Caenorhabditis elegans: one gene and its partners. The protein of the gene in region 1 purifies or fractionates together with the protein of each later gene. This does not show direct contact. Each region holds a gene or a part of one and is shown on either strand. Other genes may lie near its edges.

Evidence for each region.
Region 2: the proteins of K12H4.7 (region 1) and F42A10.6 fractionate together in Caenorhabditis elegans (co-fractionation; one large-scale study listed by BioGRID). This does not show direct contact.
Region 3: the proteins of K12H4.7 (region 1) and hrg-11.2 fractionate together in Caenorhabditis elegans (co-fractionation; one large-scale study listed by BioGRID). This does not show direct contact.

Annotation. Positions count from the first base shown.
Region 1 is NC_003281.10:8,047,884-8,053,077, forward strand, and holds K12H4.7 (Putative serine protease K12H4.7), read right to left. Parts: upstream 3,199-5,194; 5' UTR 3,158-3,198; coding exon 3,127-3,157; intron 2,611-3,126; coding exon 2,507-2,610; intron 2,459-2,506; coding exon 2,257-2,458; intron 2,214-2,256; coding exon 2,123-2,213; intron 2,078-2,122; coding exon 1,842-2,077; intron 1,795-1,841; coding exon 1,659-1,794; intron 1,393-1,658; coding exon 773-1,392; intron 724-772; coding exon 611-723; 3' UTR 567-610; downstream 1-566. Other genes in the region: mals-1 (Mitochondrial Assembly of ribosomal Large Subunit), read left to right, coding at 1-114, 166-327, 372-497.
Region 2 is NC_003281.10:6,175,586-6,178,553, reverse strand, and holds F42A10.6 (MD-2-related lipid-recognition domain-containing protein), read left to right. Parts: upstream 1-1,692; coding exon 1,693-1,843; intron 1,844-1,890; coding exon 1,891-2,056; intron 2,057-2,101; coding exon 2,102-2,216; intron 2,217-2,261; coding exon 2,262-2,360; 3' UTR 2,361-2,397; downstream 2,398-2,968. Other genes in the region: F42A10.7 (MD-2-related lipid-recognition domain-containing protein), read left to right, coding at 1-229, 329-539; abcf-3 (ABC transporter domain-containing protein), read right to left, coding at 2,502-2,742, 2,843-2,968.
Region 3 is NC_003284.9:3,232,328-3,237,327, forward strand, and holds the start of hrg-11.2 (C-type LECtin), read right to left. Parts: upstream 3,082-5,000; 5' UTR 3,080-3,081; coding exon 2,900-3,079; intron 2,855-2,899; coding exon 2,743-2,854; intron 2,694-2,742; coding exon 2,071-2,693; intron 2,027-2,070; coding exon 1,966-2,026; intron 1,921-1,965; coding exon 1,750-1,920; intron 1,606-1,749; coding exon 1,534-1,605; intron 1,491-1,533; coding exon 1,299-1,490; intron 1,208-1,298; coding exon 1,090-1,207; intron 1,035-1,089; coding exon 914-1,034; intron 861-913; coding exon 717-860; intron 673-716; coding exon 1-672. Other genes in the region: Protein irg-7, read right to left, coding at 3,584-3,617, 3,665-3,868, 3,912-4,228, 4,273-4,356, 4,403-4,548, 4,592-4,748, 4,810-5,000.

The DNA of each region.
Region 1 (5,194 bases):
TCAGAAGACGCTGATTTTGTAGAGAATGTGGTCGGAGCTTTGACTGATCAAAGAGCAAAAGATGTATTTGTTGTAAAATCAGAAGAAACAGAAATGACACCGTATACACATAAGGTAATTAATCCTCGTAATTCAGTAAGGAGAAAATTAATCTCATATTTTCAGATAATTTGCTCAGCATTCAATTCGCGACAAGCTTCAGCAATTTCTGAAAATCTTCGATCTCTTCTAAAAATTGACGGAGTGTCGAATGGATCCATGTCACATGCACGAAGGAGCACAAAACGAAGCAATGGATGGTATGTCAGTGAGGTGGAAAGAGTTCAGGTATTACTTCCTACATATTATATTTTTTAATGCCTATACTTCAGGTGCACGTAATGAGTGAAGAATGCCGTGAGAAGTACGATTTGGAAGCAATTTGGGCTGGCGATGATCGGATCTTAGACGAGATTGATGAGGAGAAACAGAAGATTTTGCTGCCACCGAGACGATAATGTTTTCCTTTTGTTATTTATAACATTTAGATTATTGTTATTATTTTTGTAATATCGTTGATATGAAATATTAGAGTCAAATTTTCATTTCTATAACATAAAATCCATAACAATTAATTAGCATGAAGCCATCCATCAAGAACATCCGAGATTCTTTGGCGGGCGTTTGTCAAGTACATACTATCCAAGCTGGATGCTCCGTACATGTCAGCACAATGGGCGGTTCCTGGAATTAATGTAATTATACTATTTTTGTACATAAAGTTCAAGATTACCATTGATCACAACTGGCACAATATTGCTGTTCGAGCTTGTCAATTTTCCAAGTGCATGCCATGGATCAATATCTCCATTTGGTAGAAGAATTCTGTCAGTGTTCAAATTATCTCTTCCTCCATAATATTGATTAGTGTAATCTACAGATGTCTGAACTTCTTGACTATTGTATGCAGCTCCATAGATAGCAGTACATTCATCAATATAATATTGAGCTGGAAGATTGCTTACACCTCCGAACCATGGTCCAGCAGTAGCTGATGAAGTTGATTGATAATATCCGAACTCAGTGCAAGTCTGCCAAACCCATGCTCTGTCAGATTGAGCCTCTCCGAATGTTTCATCTTTCATGAAAGAAATGAAACCATTGTAATCAATATCATTGCATCCGAAATATCCACTGACTTGGTTAAAATAGTCATTGACTTGTTTCAATTTCTGAAGTGGTGTTGATTTAGTGTTAATGTGATAACGGCAAATGGCATGAGAAATTGTGAGTTGAGTGGCAAACGATCCAGCGGCATCACCAGAATATTGAACAACCTCCATGTATGGAGAATATACTGTTTCCCAGAAATACTTGAGTGATTTATCGTCCATTTGAATGTCTTGGCAGAGACTGAAAAATTGTTGCTTATTTTACAATATATATTTCAATTTGACGCATTGAATGAACACGCCAAGTTATACGCACTTCTCAAAACATTTGTGACTAGAATAGCTGACAAAGGAACTATGTAGAGACTGGAACTTCCAGAGAAAAGTTTCAAAAAAGTTAGAGCGGTTAATTCAGTTTGAAACGCGCAGGAATGGGGGGAATACAGAAGGTTCACTCGAGGTTTTTGGCTTTGGCTAACTAGTAAGCATACATCATAATAAACTCACTGGAAAGCAGTTTTCAATTGTTTGCGTCCATCGGAAGTTTGAAGAAGAGAAGCAACCAAGTTGAATCCTTGGGTCACACTGGCGGCACACTCAGTTGAGTTACGGGTAATTGAGTTTTGTACAACCTCAAGATACTCTGAAATAGAAAGTAATTGGAAGTAAATTGCTGCGTATCTTTTTAACCTTTGAAGTCAACCTCGGCTTGAACTGGACCACTGGATCCAACAGCAGCATACACCAATTCTGGATGCTTTGCACGAGTCCATGCGGCCAAAGCTCCAGAGTAGGATCCTCCGAAAGTGACCCACTTGGCATTGGCCAATTGTGGGAACTTGGCGGTCATTGCCTTAATGAAAGCGGCGGCATCCTCAATAGCTTGGGCAGAAGACAAGTATTTCAGGTTTGGTACGGACATGTCGCTGGAAAACATTAATAATAGGGAGTTATTTCGTAAAAAGAAATACCTGGTTGGGTGAGTCTCTCCATAGAATCTGTGCTCAATATCAAAGACCCAGGCTCCTTGTTTGGCAGCCAAGTTGGTGATTTCAAGTCCAGCTTTAAAAATAAAATGTCTTGTATGATAAAAAAGTAAACTAACGATAAGAAACCCAATAACTAGACTCTGGTCCTTCTCCTCCAAGCATCAAGAAAGCTGGTCCTCCAGCCTTGTACCATTGGTTGTTATGATAATATCTCTGCTGGAAAGTCTTTCCGACGGAAGAATCAAAATGATCAAGAGTTTGAGTGAAAGTAGATGAGACTACATTGTCAAAGTTGATCATATGAGAAACGGAAGACATCTGGAATAGACTTTTTTTGTTCTGTACATTGGATGTTTGAACACTTACTGGTGGAGTCTTCTTCATTCCTCCACGTGGACGTCCACGGATCATGTTACGACGAACACGCTGCTCATTGCTTGGAGCAGACAATACCTGGGTCAGCACACATGCTGAAATGTTAAGTTATTCAGTGTGAAACTACAGAAACTATGGTAAACATAGAACTGAACTTAAAATTTATTAATTCGATGGTAAATAATGTTATCAGTTTTGAAACCTTAGTTTTTAGACAGTTGCTCGTCTCGATAAAAATGAATCCACGAATTATAAATTTTGTGTATTTCGTTGTAAAGATTAGTAGAAAATTCTTTTGAAAGATTCAACAATACAACATTTGAGAACATTGGCTAGACTAGATCTAGGTCTAGATAGAGTATATTCCCGTCGAAAACAGTTTCCAGATTCCTTATTTCCAGAAAAATATGTGAGACTTCATAATTTGTTTTTTTAGATTTTGAGTAATAAAAATATGTTCTGGCCATATAGCCTAATGGTCACGAATTTTAGAAAAAAACGACTCATGAAATTTACGGAACTGGCATTGAATCTGGGCAACTTCACTTTTAAGCTCCTCAAAGAGAAAGTAGCTACAGAAATTCTAAAACGATGTTTAAAATTAAATTTACCTGCCAGTAGCACTGCCAAAAGAGTCTTCATGTTTCCACTTTCTAGAATAAAAAGAAAAAGTGAAATAAAGCAAGAGTTTTCAGTTGATAAGCACCCACTTATACACTTTTCCTTATCAAATAATTTATCGCTGATTTGCGAGTTCAATTCCGTTTTCGCTATCACATTTAAATGATGATTTTACTGATTCGTGGCACAACTACATTCGAAATACTAAATCATCTTTTAGACTGACGTACTTGCAAACTGGGTTCTTAGTTTACAGGAATACTGGGCCAAAGTTTGAAAAATAAAATAACAAAGCCAATTTCAGAGAAACTGCAAAGATCAATAAAAAGTTGGAATTCGAAACGTTTAATTGTTTACTGGAACTATCAAATTGAATATAATCTTTTCAAAAATAAAATTTCCATATTCATAACATCATACCTAAGCATTTTCTGTCAGGATATGGAAGAAAATAAAAGGAAAAGTTGGTTGAATAAATAAATTACTAATAGAGGAAATACGGTATTCTTCGAAAAACACTTGCAACAAGCCAGTCATCATTTCAAATTTTTTTAAAATTCCGTTTCTCCATTCCATCATTTTCCATAAATATGTGCACTGAACTGTTTTACCTGCTCTCACTTGACTTCTTCTTCTATTCTACCTTCTTCAATCTTATTTCTTTTCCGTTGTTCGCAAACACTAGCCACATCACGCCTCCCGGTTGAGGAGATGAGAGGTAGGTGCTCATCTATTCAATACTCCGTTTTTCAAGTTTTAAATCGAGACATTTGTTCAAAATTGGTGAATTAAGGTCTCGCTATGTTCTCGCAAGTTCCAATTTTTATTGATTTGATTTCTCATCACGATCGTAGGTGCTAAAAATTTGTCAAGAATTCTCACAGAAATCTAAACTCTAAAAATATTATTTCCCTCTATAATTTGCTAGCTTTCAAACGTTTATTTCTACATATTGAATTTAATTCTAAATTTCCAAATTACGTGAATGCTGCCTAAAGTCTCGATTACGCAATAGTTACATAACCAAAGATGTGTCTTGACACTCCTTCAACTTTTTTTCCCAAAATTCTCGAGGTAAAAAAGTGAAAAAAAGGGCAGTTAGAGACCACCTGGGTGTTGATGCAAGTCTTGCGTTGTGTCTTTTTTATACATTGAAATTTGGAAAAAAAATGCTTGAGAAATGAAATTATGGTAGAATACGGTAGAACTTGTATTTCCAAACTGTGAACGTGATGCATTTCTTGTTGGAATCCTTAGAGAATACGATATATTAGCAAACATCAAGAATCTTCCATTTTCCTTTTTCTTTCAAACTTTCGATTCCGTTAGCCATAACTTGCAATACGAGACAGTTCAAAAAGAGAAAAAACATTGAAAAACCATAGCATCTTCATAAAAAGTGCAATTAAATATATTGAGTAACCGTCTAAATGGTCATCTAGTTTTGTTCCGCCGTCACGCAACTATTAAATTCTCCATCTTTAGCCAATTATTATTATTCTTGGGTGTTATGCAACTTTTCTATTCGTACAGATTTTTCTTCATTTGGTTTTGGTTTTTAATATTCTTTTTTTTTGTTTTTTAACGTGTTAAAAAATTGTGAAAATGATTACAAAATATCAAACTAAATATTTTCCAATTTCGAAAAAATCCACACACATGTATTTATCGAATTCTATTCAAACATAAATTTCCCACTATTTTTTTGTCCAAAACAGAAAGAGTGGAATGTGTAAGATACAACTCAGTTTTTCACAAGTATCCAATCCAATTATGTGCACAGTCTCGAGTTTTAATGGTATGGGAACTTGGGATTTGAGATAATAAAAATAGTTGGTTACGGTGGTTGATGAGAATTTTTATTTGTTGCTGCATTGAGACTAAGAGAGTTGGATATCACGTGATTTCTCAATTTTCATAATTATCTACTATTGTATAAGTTGCTGGAAAATTTTTGACAAAATAATTGTTTTATGAACACTTACCGAAGGGGTTTTTATGGAGATTTGATTTTTCAACTTCTCAATTTCACAAATTTTCAGAAATATGTGTGGCCAA
Region 2 (2,968 bases), 1.9 Mb from region 1:
GGCAGTGCTCATCTGGACCAGTTCAATTTTTGAATGCTACTCCATACGACTCTACCGGAAAACAATACGAGTACCCAATTCATTTGAGTCAGCCAATTGTTGTCAAGACTCAAATCAATAACCCAACGAGCACATATGTGTCGCCAAATCTTCGTAACACCGTCAATATCTGGAAGTATGGAGGATGGAACGGATGCACATGGAGCTCAATCCCAACTCTCGGTCTTTTGTAAGTTTATATCTTTAAGTTAATTCTAATGGATTAGAATGGGTGAACTGTTTAGGCTATTCTCGACTTCTAAATAATAAATAACGATTCATCTTCCAGGAAGGACCTTGACGCCTGCGCAAACGGAGTCCCATGCCCAGTCCGTCCAGGAAACCAAGAACTTGACGTCATCATTGACTTCACCAAGTTCGACCAAATCATCGCCTTACTCAAGGACAATCAGCCATATCAACTCGAGTACATCCTTCACGACAACCAATCCGGAGACACCTCATGCATGATGGTCCAGGCTTGGGCCTTCCTTAAGTAAAATGCTTTCCCATTTGGCGATTGGCTTTAAGATTTCTAATTATATTTGCACTATAACACGGGCGTATATTTTAACAACAATAAAATGTACATAATCTTGACTTTTTGTTGGTTTTTGTTCATTATCAATTTGAAGGAAAAATTTCCGAAATCGAACTAAAGTTGCGATAACATTTTGATAAAAAAGAACTATTCGCACTGGAAAATGTTGCATATTTGCCATTTTGGCAATGAACCAAAAATCAAACAAGTAAACAAGGAATCAGAAATTATTAATAATTTCCCGATTCAGTTATAGTTTGAAAACTGAGAAATTTCAATAAGTACCTAAAGTTGGAAGTATGAAGAATACGTGCTTGCACAGGTTTTTTAAAACTTTGTCTTTCCTTCAATTCATCGGATTTAATGATCAAAATAGAAGAAGAATATAAAAATCGCATAGACGTCAAAAATGAAAATTTTCTTCATATCTTATGAGTACAACGAGTTACTTTACCACGCGTCAATTTCTTAGGCCTCCATTGTATCATAATTTTATTTTAAAAAGCTTGGAATCAGTTATTCATTGTATTAGAAAAACATGGTGCAGTAGCGGCCTTCATATTGACACGTGTTACAGTAACCCGCTTTCCGCGTGGCGAGACCCATTTGCGTAAATTATGACGGAAACTCTCATCTTCTGACGTCTACGTAATATTAAGACGCTGATAAAGCTAAAGTTGCTGAACAAAGTAATGAAAAATAAAAATGTATGGTACCCAAGTTTTAAAGGCGCATAGCACGAGTGAGCAAAATTTTCAATCGTGGCGAGACTTCGAAAGGTGCATTTCTCAGGAATACTCAATATACATATGAAATTTTTTCAATGAAAATGAGTACTTCCTGTGGATATTTCCGGTTCTCTGTGACCTCTTTTTTATTCTAGAATCACAATTACATGCAAAAAACTATTAAAACGCGTGGTTTCTTCAAATTGCCATGTGCTTTGATATTTCTCTTATCGTAGTTTTTCCTATCGAATTTGATGATCATTTTGCAATTTAGTTTTCCATTTTCTCAAATTTCCCAGTTAACCAATTACAGATTCACTATTTTATTCCAACTTAGATCACATCCACTAGCTTTCGAAACGAAAAATTCTACTTCAATTCCAGATGCTTGCTCGTTGTCTGTGTCTCTTCGCCCTACTTGCTCTCTCGTCGGCATGCGATCAATGGCCGAATACTACAGAGACAAAGGTCAACTGGTGGCAATGCTCAAATGGACCAGTTATGGTGACCAATGTTAATCCAACTGATAAGAGTGGTTCGCAAGTTTTCTGATAGTTTCTACGAATGTATAATTGAATCCAGGTAACAGTGAATATCCAATCCGTCTTACTGAACCACTTCTCATTGCAACATCCATCAATGATCCATCCTCAACTTATACTACTCCTGGACTTAAACAAACTATCAAGGTCTGGTCATGGAATATGGCTACTTGTGGATGGTCTTCAGTACCAACTTTTGGACTTTTGTAAGATTTTTGCTTCTTACAGTAACCTACAGTAACCTTTTCCAGGAACAACATCGATGCTTGTACCAACGGAGTACCATGCCCAATTGAACCGAAAAACAAGGTCATCAATTTGGAACTCGACTTCTCTGATACTCCAGCTATCATCAATCTTCTCAAGGTTATTTTGATGTGTATTCTTCGAAAGTTAAACCCCCAATTTCAGAACGATAAGCCTTACCAACTCGAGTATCTTCTTCATGATGACCCGAGCAAGGAAGACCTTTGCATTATTTTCCAGGCTAGAGCTCTCACTCATACTTAAATTTTGAAGTGAACAATTTAATAAAGCAATAAACTTTTTTCTCAACAAAAATTATAAATTGAATTCTTAAATAGTGTAACAAAACGTGGAAACTGGGTGAAATATGGGAAACAACCGAATGCGAAACAAAACAGGAAAAATTTAGGCAGTGAGTTGAAGCTGCTTGTAGACTTGCTTTCTGTATTCTTCGAGTCCTCCCTCCAAAGTTGTCACCATTCGATCCTTCACAACCCAAAGTTCCTTGCACACAAGCTCGATGAGTTGCTCGTCGTGAGAAACTAAAACGACACCTCCATTGAAAACATTAAGCGCTTTTCCAAGAGCTTCAACCGTTTCGACATCCAAGTGATTAGTAGGCTCGTCAAGAATCAAGTAGTTTGGCCTGAAAAATACTATGAATTAGACGGAGTTTGAATAAATTTTTTTTTCTAGGAAAAAATGAATATTTTTTGAAAATGTTGCTATTTTCAAGCAAAACTCACTGCATCAAGGCTAAATTAGCAAATGCCAATCGAGACTTTTGACCTCCAGAAAGTGTCTCAACAGATTGCAAAGCCATATCACCAGCTAATCCAAATCTTCCCAAAGCTGCTCGATAATCTTCTTGA
Region 3 (5,000 bases), on another chromosome or scaffold:
AGCCATATCATTGTTATCACGAGCGAAGAAGTTGAAGTAAAGAACTTCATCGGGGACATTACAGATGAATGGTGGGAAGTAGAAGTGGAATTCACAAGCATCTCTGTACATTCCACTTGATCCGTAAACCTCTGTTTGAACTCCGTCGCGGATAGCATAAATCTGAAGATTGGCGTGCACGCGGTCCATAGAAATGAATTCGGGGTAGTTGGAAACATGGAAAACAGGAGAAGCATCAAAACCAGCAACTGGTTGGCGGAGAACTCCGGCTGCAGAAGTGAGGGTAGTTGCGAAAGACCAGAAAATGTCATAGTCTGGATTGTATTGGCTCATTCCACCAAGGTTATACTTCTTCTGGTATACTTTGAAGGTACACGCAGAGTTTGGTGAGTCGGAAACCAAATTGAAGAACCATTGTCCAGCGAAGATTTGGTTGGAGGTCCAAATGTAGTTAACACCATCATTGAATGCAACAAAGAAGTCAGGGTGTGCTCCGGTTGGGGTTGTGACTTGAAGTTTCAAGTTAGATCCTGTAGCAACAACGACAACTTGATCAGCAGTCACGTCAACTGCAACCGATTTGTAGATGTTTTGATTAGCACAGTGAGAGTAATCTCCAGATAGAGCAAGTTGAGAGCGGAACAACGTGTTGTACATATGAACGTAGAAGAACTTAAAATATAATGCATTAATATTAAAGAATTAAAGAAACATACGTTGGAGATAGTGGTTCTGTTGTTAAAGTAGAACGTGTTTCCGCTGGACATCGCAGCCATATCGACCATATCTCTGTACCCAGCACTATCGGGTGAAGTATTGCAGCCACTTCCAATTGCTGGTTGCACGTAAATGAAGTAGACCTGAAACATTCTGGTATTTTCGAATAACTTTAAATTTAATAAATTTTCCATACTGGTGCTCTCCAATAAGATTCCAAGTGTACAATTGTTTGCTTCTCAGTGCTATCATTTGGATTGGCATCAGTGATTACATAGATTGGTGATTTGTTAGTTGGATAAAGAGAAAGAGCAGATCTGTAAAACAACCATGAAGATTCTGTAAAACATTGAAAAACTAGTCGATACTTACGCAACAGCAGAGAAAACAACATCATCACATCCACCGTCGGATGGGGCAGAGTTAATCGCTTTAAGTAGATCAACCATAGCGGCATCCCATGAGTCATATCTCTGGTTTACCAAAAGCTCTAAAAATTAAAATATAATGCATTACCGTTTCCTGATAAGAAGGTAGGCTTATGGGAGCCACCCCGGTAAATTAGTTGCAAATCAACTCACTGGCGTTATCAAAGAGCACAACGATGAAATTAGTGAGATAGCCAGGCTCGGCAGATAGTTCATCGACAATTCTTGAAACTGAATTTGTGGCCTGTTGAATAACATCTGACAATTGGCTTCTAGAACGAATGACCAGAGTAACAGTCGGGTTTTCAGCATTGAAATCAATTCCGGATGCACCAGGGCAGACAACTGTAATGCATTTGTGATCAGTTTATTTTCCGAGGCGACTTACTATTTTGACAGTGGAAACCGGTGAATCCTTCTGGACATTCACAATGTTCGCTTGTGGGAGTTGGAAGGAATCCTGAAAAATAAAATATTTGATGACCAATTTAGGCTGGCTCAAAAAAGTGTCCTTTTTAGAAGGTTGTCTTTGTGTTATCAACCATGTAGCACATCAATGGCAACATAGCGTTTTCTATTTAACAGCTCTAGTTACAGTATTCACCTCCATTAGCACACAACATCTGAGAACAGTCACGTCCGGTGTATAGTCCAAAACAGTAACAGTATGGTGAACCACTGGAATCCTTCAAAACTTGACCTCCGTTCTGGCAGGTTGTCAATGGAGCAGCGGTTGTTGTTGGAGCAGGGACAGTGGTGGTAGACACTGGTGGCACTAAATTACTCAGGTTGATTATTGTTGTCAACTACGTTCACTTACAAATACATTGGTAGGGCAGAATACGACGGAAAACGTATCCGTTATCGCTCATTCCTTCAACCTGAACTTTTATGATTGCAATTTATATCAATTCATTGCACTTACCTGTAATAAATTGTGCCCAATATCGTTATTTCCAATTTTTCTGCAAGTATACCTCTCCAAAATATATGGATAAGTACAATTGAAGCGAGTTGCCATAGGAATGTATCTTGAGATATGGTTCTCGGCGCCAGTGAATCCAATCGCCTGAATTTGACCGGGAAAGTGTAGTCCTTGTGCATGAAGAACAACAGCTGATTCAGTGTCAAAATAGGCAAACTTGAGGGTTGGATAGTCGCTGCGCTCTGGTTGATCGCCTGATGTAAAACCTCCAGTAACTTGAATATTGGTATGAGCGGTCATCATCATAGTACAAAATTCATCTCCAGAATCAGCTCTTGGTCCGAGAAGATACTGGCCTGGCGCTAAAGTCTCATATGTTGCCACATAGGAAGTTACGGTTTTTCTGTCAGTGTCAGGGAAGATCAGATCTCCACTCTCAGATTGGAGGTAGAAAGTTGGATTCAATGGTGACTCAGTTTCGACCTCAATTTTGATATTCCGCATGGTCTCATCAACAACAACGACGTATGTTTGACTGCAGTTTGCAAGATTTGTTGCATCAATAGAGATATCGTCAGAATCCTTGTTATCAGGAATGTAAGGATTGCGAGCAGAGCACAATGCTAAGAAATTGCATTTTTAGTTTAAAAACACATATGTGATCCGACTTACGATATTGACAGGTGGCTCCTGTGTATCCTGGCTTGTTACATCCTCTGGTGGCCATTCCAGCAAAAACATGAGGCTCGGCGATAGATCTTTTGGAGATATGATGAGTATCAACCTGAAACCATATATGGAACATAGTTAAACGAAATCTAGAACTTACAAAGAGATCGGACTGCTCATCGAATTGAATCTTCTGTTCACTGACTGGGTGGAAGAGTTGATTACTGTTGGCCGGGTTCCATGACTTTAAGACTTTGCGGATTCTCTCTTTGTGACTGAGCTCAGGCTCAGCGCCCAGGCAGATCACGGCTAACGCCGCAATCAAAACCCAGCTTCTCATTACTGAAATTTCACATTAATTTAATTGCTCTTAAACTCCAAAAAAACTAAATATCGTAAAAGGTATTGAGTTCTGAAAATGAATGTGAAAAGGCAGGAGCAGCCTGGCAAATCTAATGAAATTATCATGAAATAATGATTTAAACCCTTTTTAATCGCAAAAGGAGAGTGTGTCCGGCACGTCATATCACCGTGGCAAACTCTTATCTTTGCCATCTCAAACAGTATTAAAATTTATTCCACGCCCTTTGCATTCTAATTGAGTAGTAGCAGAATAATGTCACAGAATACGATTTTGTATCATCAAATTATTATCAAGCACTTTCTGATGATTTCGACTTGAAGTTCAACCACTAGTAAAGTTTATTGAATTGCCATCACATTTCACTTTTGTATTATATTTTTTCTCTCGTAATTTTGATTTTTCGGTCCAACACATAAATTGTTAAATAATGATAAGTTTATTAAAATTCAAATTATTTCAGTGATTTCCGGGTCGACTGCCTTAGTTGTTGATACAGTAGACACCTCCATTGGCGCTGAAAATAAGAACATTTCACTTAATGAACACACTTATATATCTTACTTGGCATTGAGGATAAGTTGCTGAATGGTCTTAATTTGGTTATTCAAACTAGCAAAATCTGGAGCTGTAAACGAGCAAGCACTTCCTCCGGAAATAGTTTGCAACTTGTTGTTATCAGTCGCGCCACCATAACCAATAGTGATGATTCCGTATTGCTTCTGCGCGAGAATTGTCTGAGCTGCCGGAGTTGGATCGGTGTCGAAGCTAAAAAATATTAATTTTATCTGGCAATCTTTTGAACACTTACGCAGTAGTTGTAGTAAGGTAGATCAACACATGGTTGCTAATGCCACTACGGTAACCATTGTTCGCCGCCATGAAATCGGGAGAAGACACAATTTGAAGAGTGTAGTTAAGAATTTGCCCGGCGTCTTCAAAGTCAGTGTAGCCACCGCTGAGTTGGGCCAAGTTAGAGTTCAACATTGCTTGAGAGGAGAGGGAGTTCAGATTGGCAGCAGGAGGAATTGGGTTTGTGATATCACCTCCGACGACAATTAATCCAACACGAGCTCCACTCTGGCCAACATTGAACGAAACCATGAATGTTTGAACAAATTTGGTGAGCTGAAATTCATATGATGGAAACATAAAGGGCATATAATGTATACCGAGTCAAAGCTGGATTGTGCACTTTGTGATCCATCGATCATAAATACAACATCAAACTGAGCGGATGTGTATGGATTTTGGGTCTGTAAGTTCAGAATTTCTAAATCACCAGTAATACTTGAAATTTACCGTGGCGACTGGTCCCTGAGTTGGTTGAGTTCCTGGGACTTGAGTTTGCTGAGTTACTGGACCTTGAGTCAGCGCGGTTTGTTGAGTTGGCATGGTGATTGGGCCAATTGTTCCTGTTGCTGGCTGGTTGGTTGTTGGGCTACGTCCTGAAAAATTTCTTGCACAATTAAACAAGTAAGCGTATATTACCATTGCAGATGACAATTTCTTGTCTTCTGAACTTTTGGTTTGCTTCATCAACTCCATGAACATAGACGGCAATCATGTCGCCGTTGCAAGTGAACAAATCAGAGTAGTACTCGTAAGAGCAGCCTGCTCGAACGTAGAGCTCTGATCGGAGAATGTTCTGAAATTTTATCACTTCTGAGTTTATTCTCTTGTGAAGGGACAATTTTAATGTTGCTTACTGTGATTGAGTTAGCTCCAATATCGAAGATTTCTACATACTGCAATTGTCCTCTGTGGAATGGATTGCCAGCAAGATGGAAAACAGCGACATTGTCAAAACCAGCTGTTGGTTGTACGAAACGTCCATCCTGATGTGAACCAAGTGGATCAGGCTTTCCTCCGATTGGGTTTGGCATCGAGAACTTTGTGT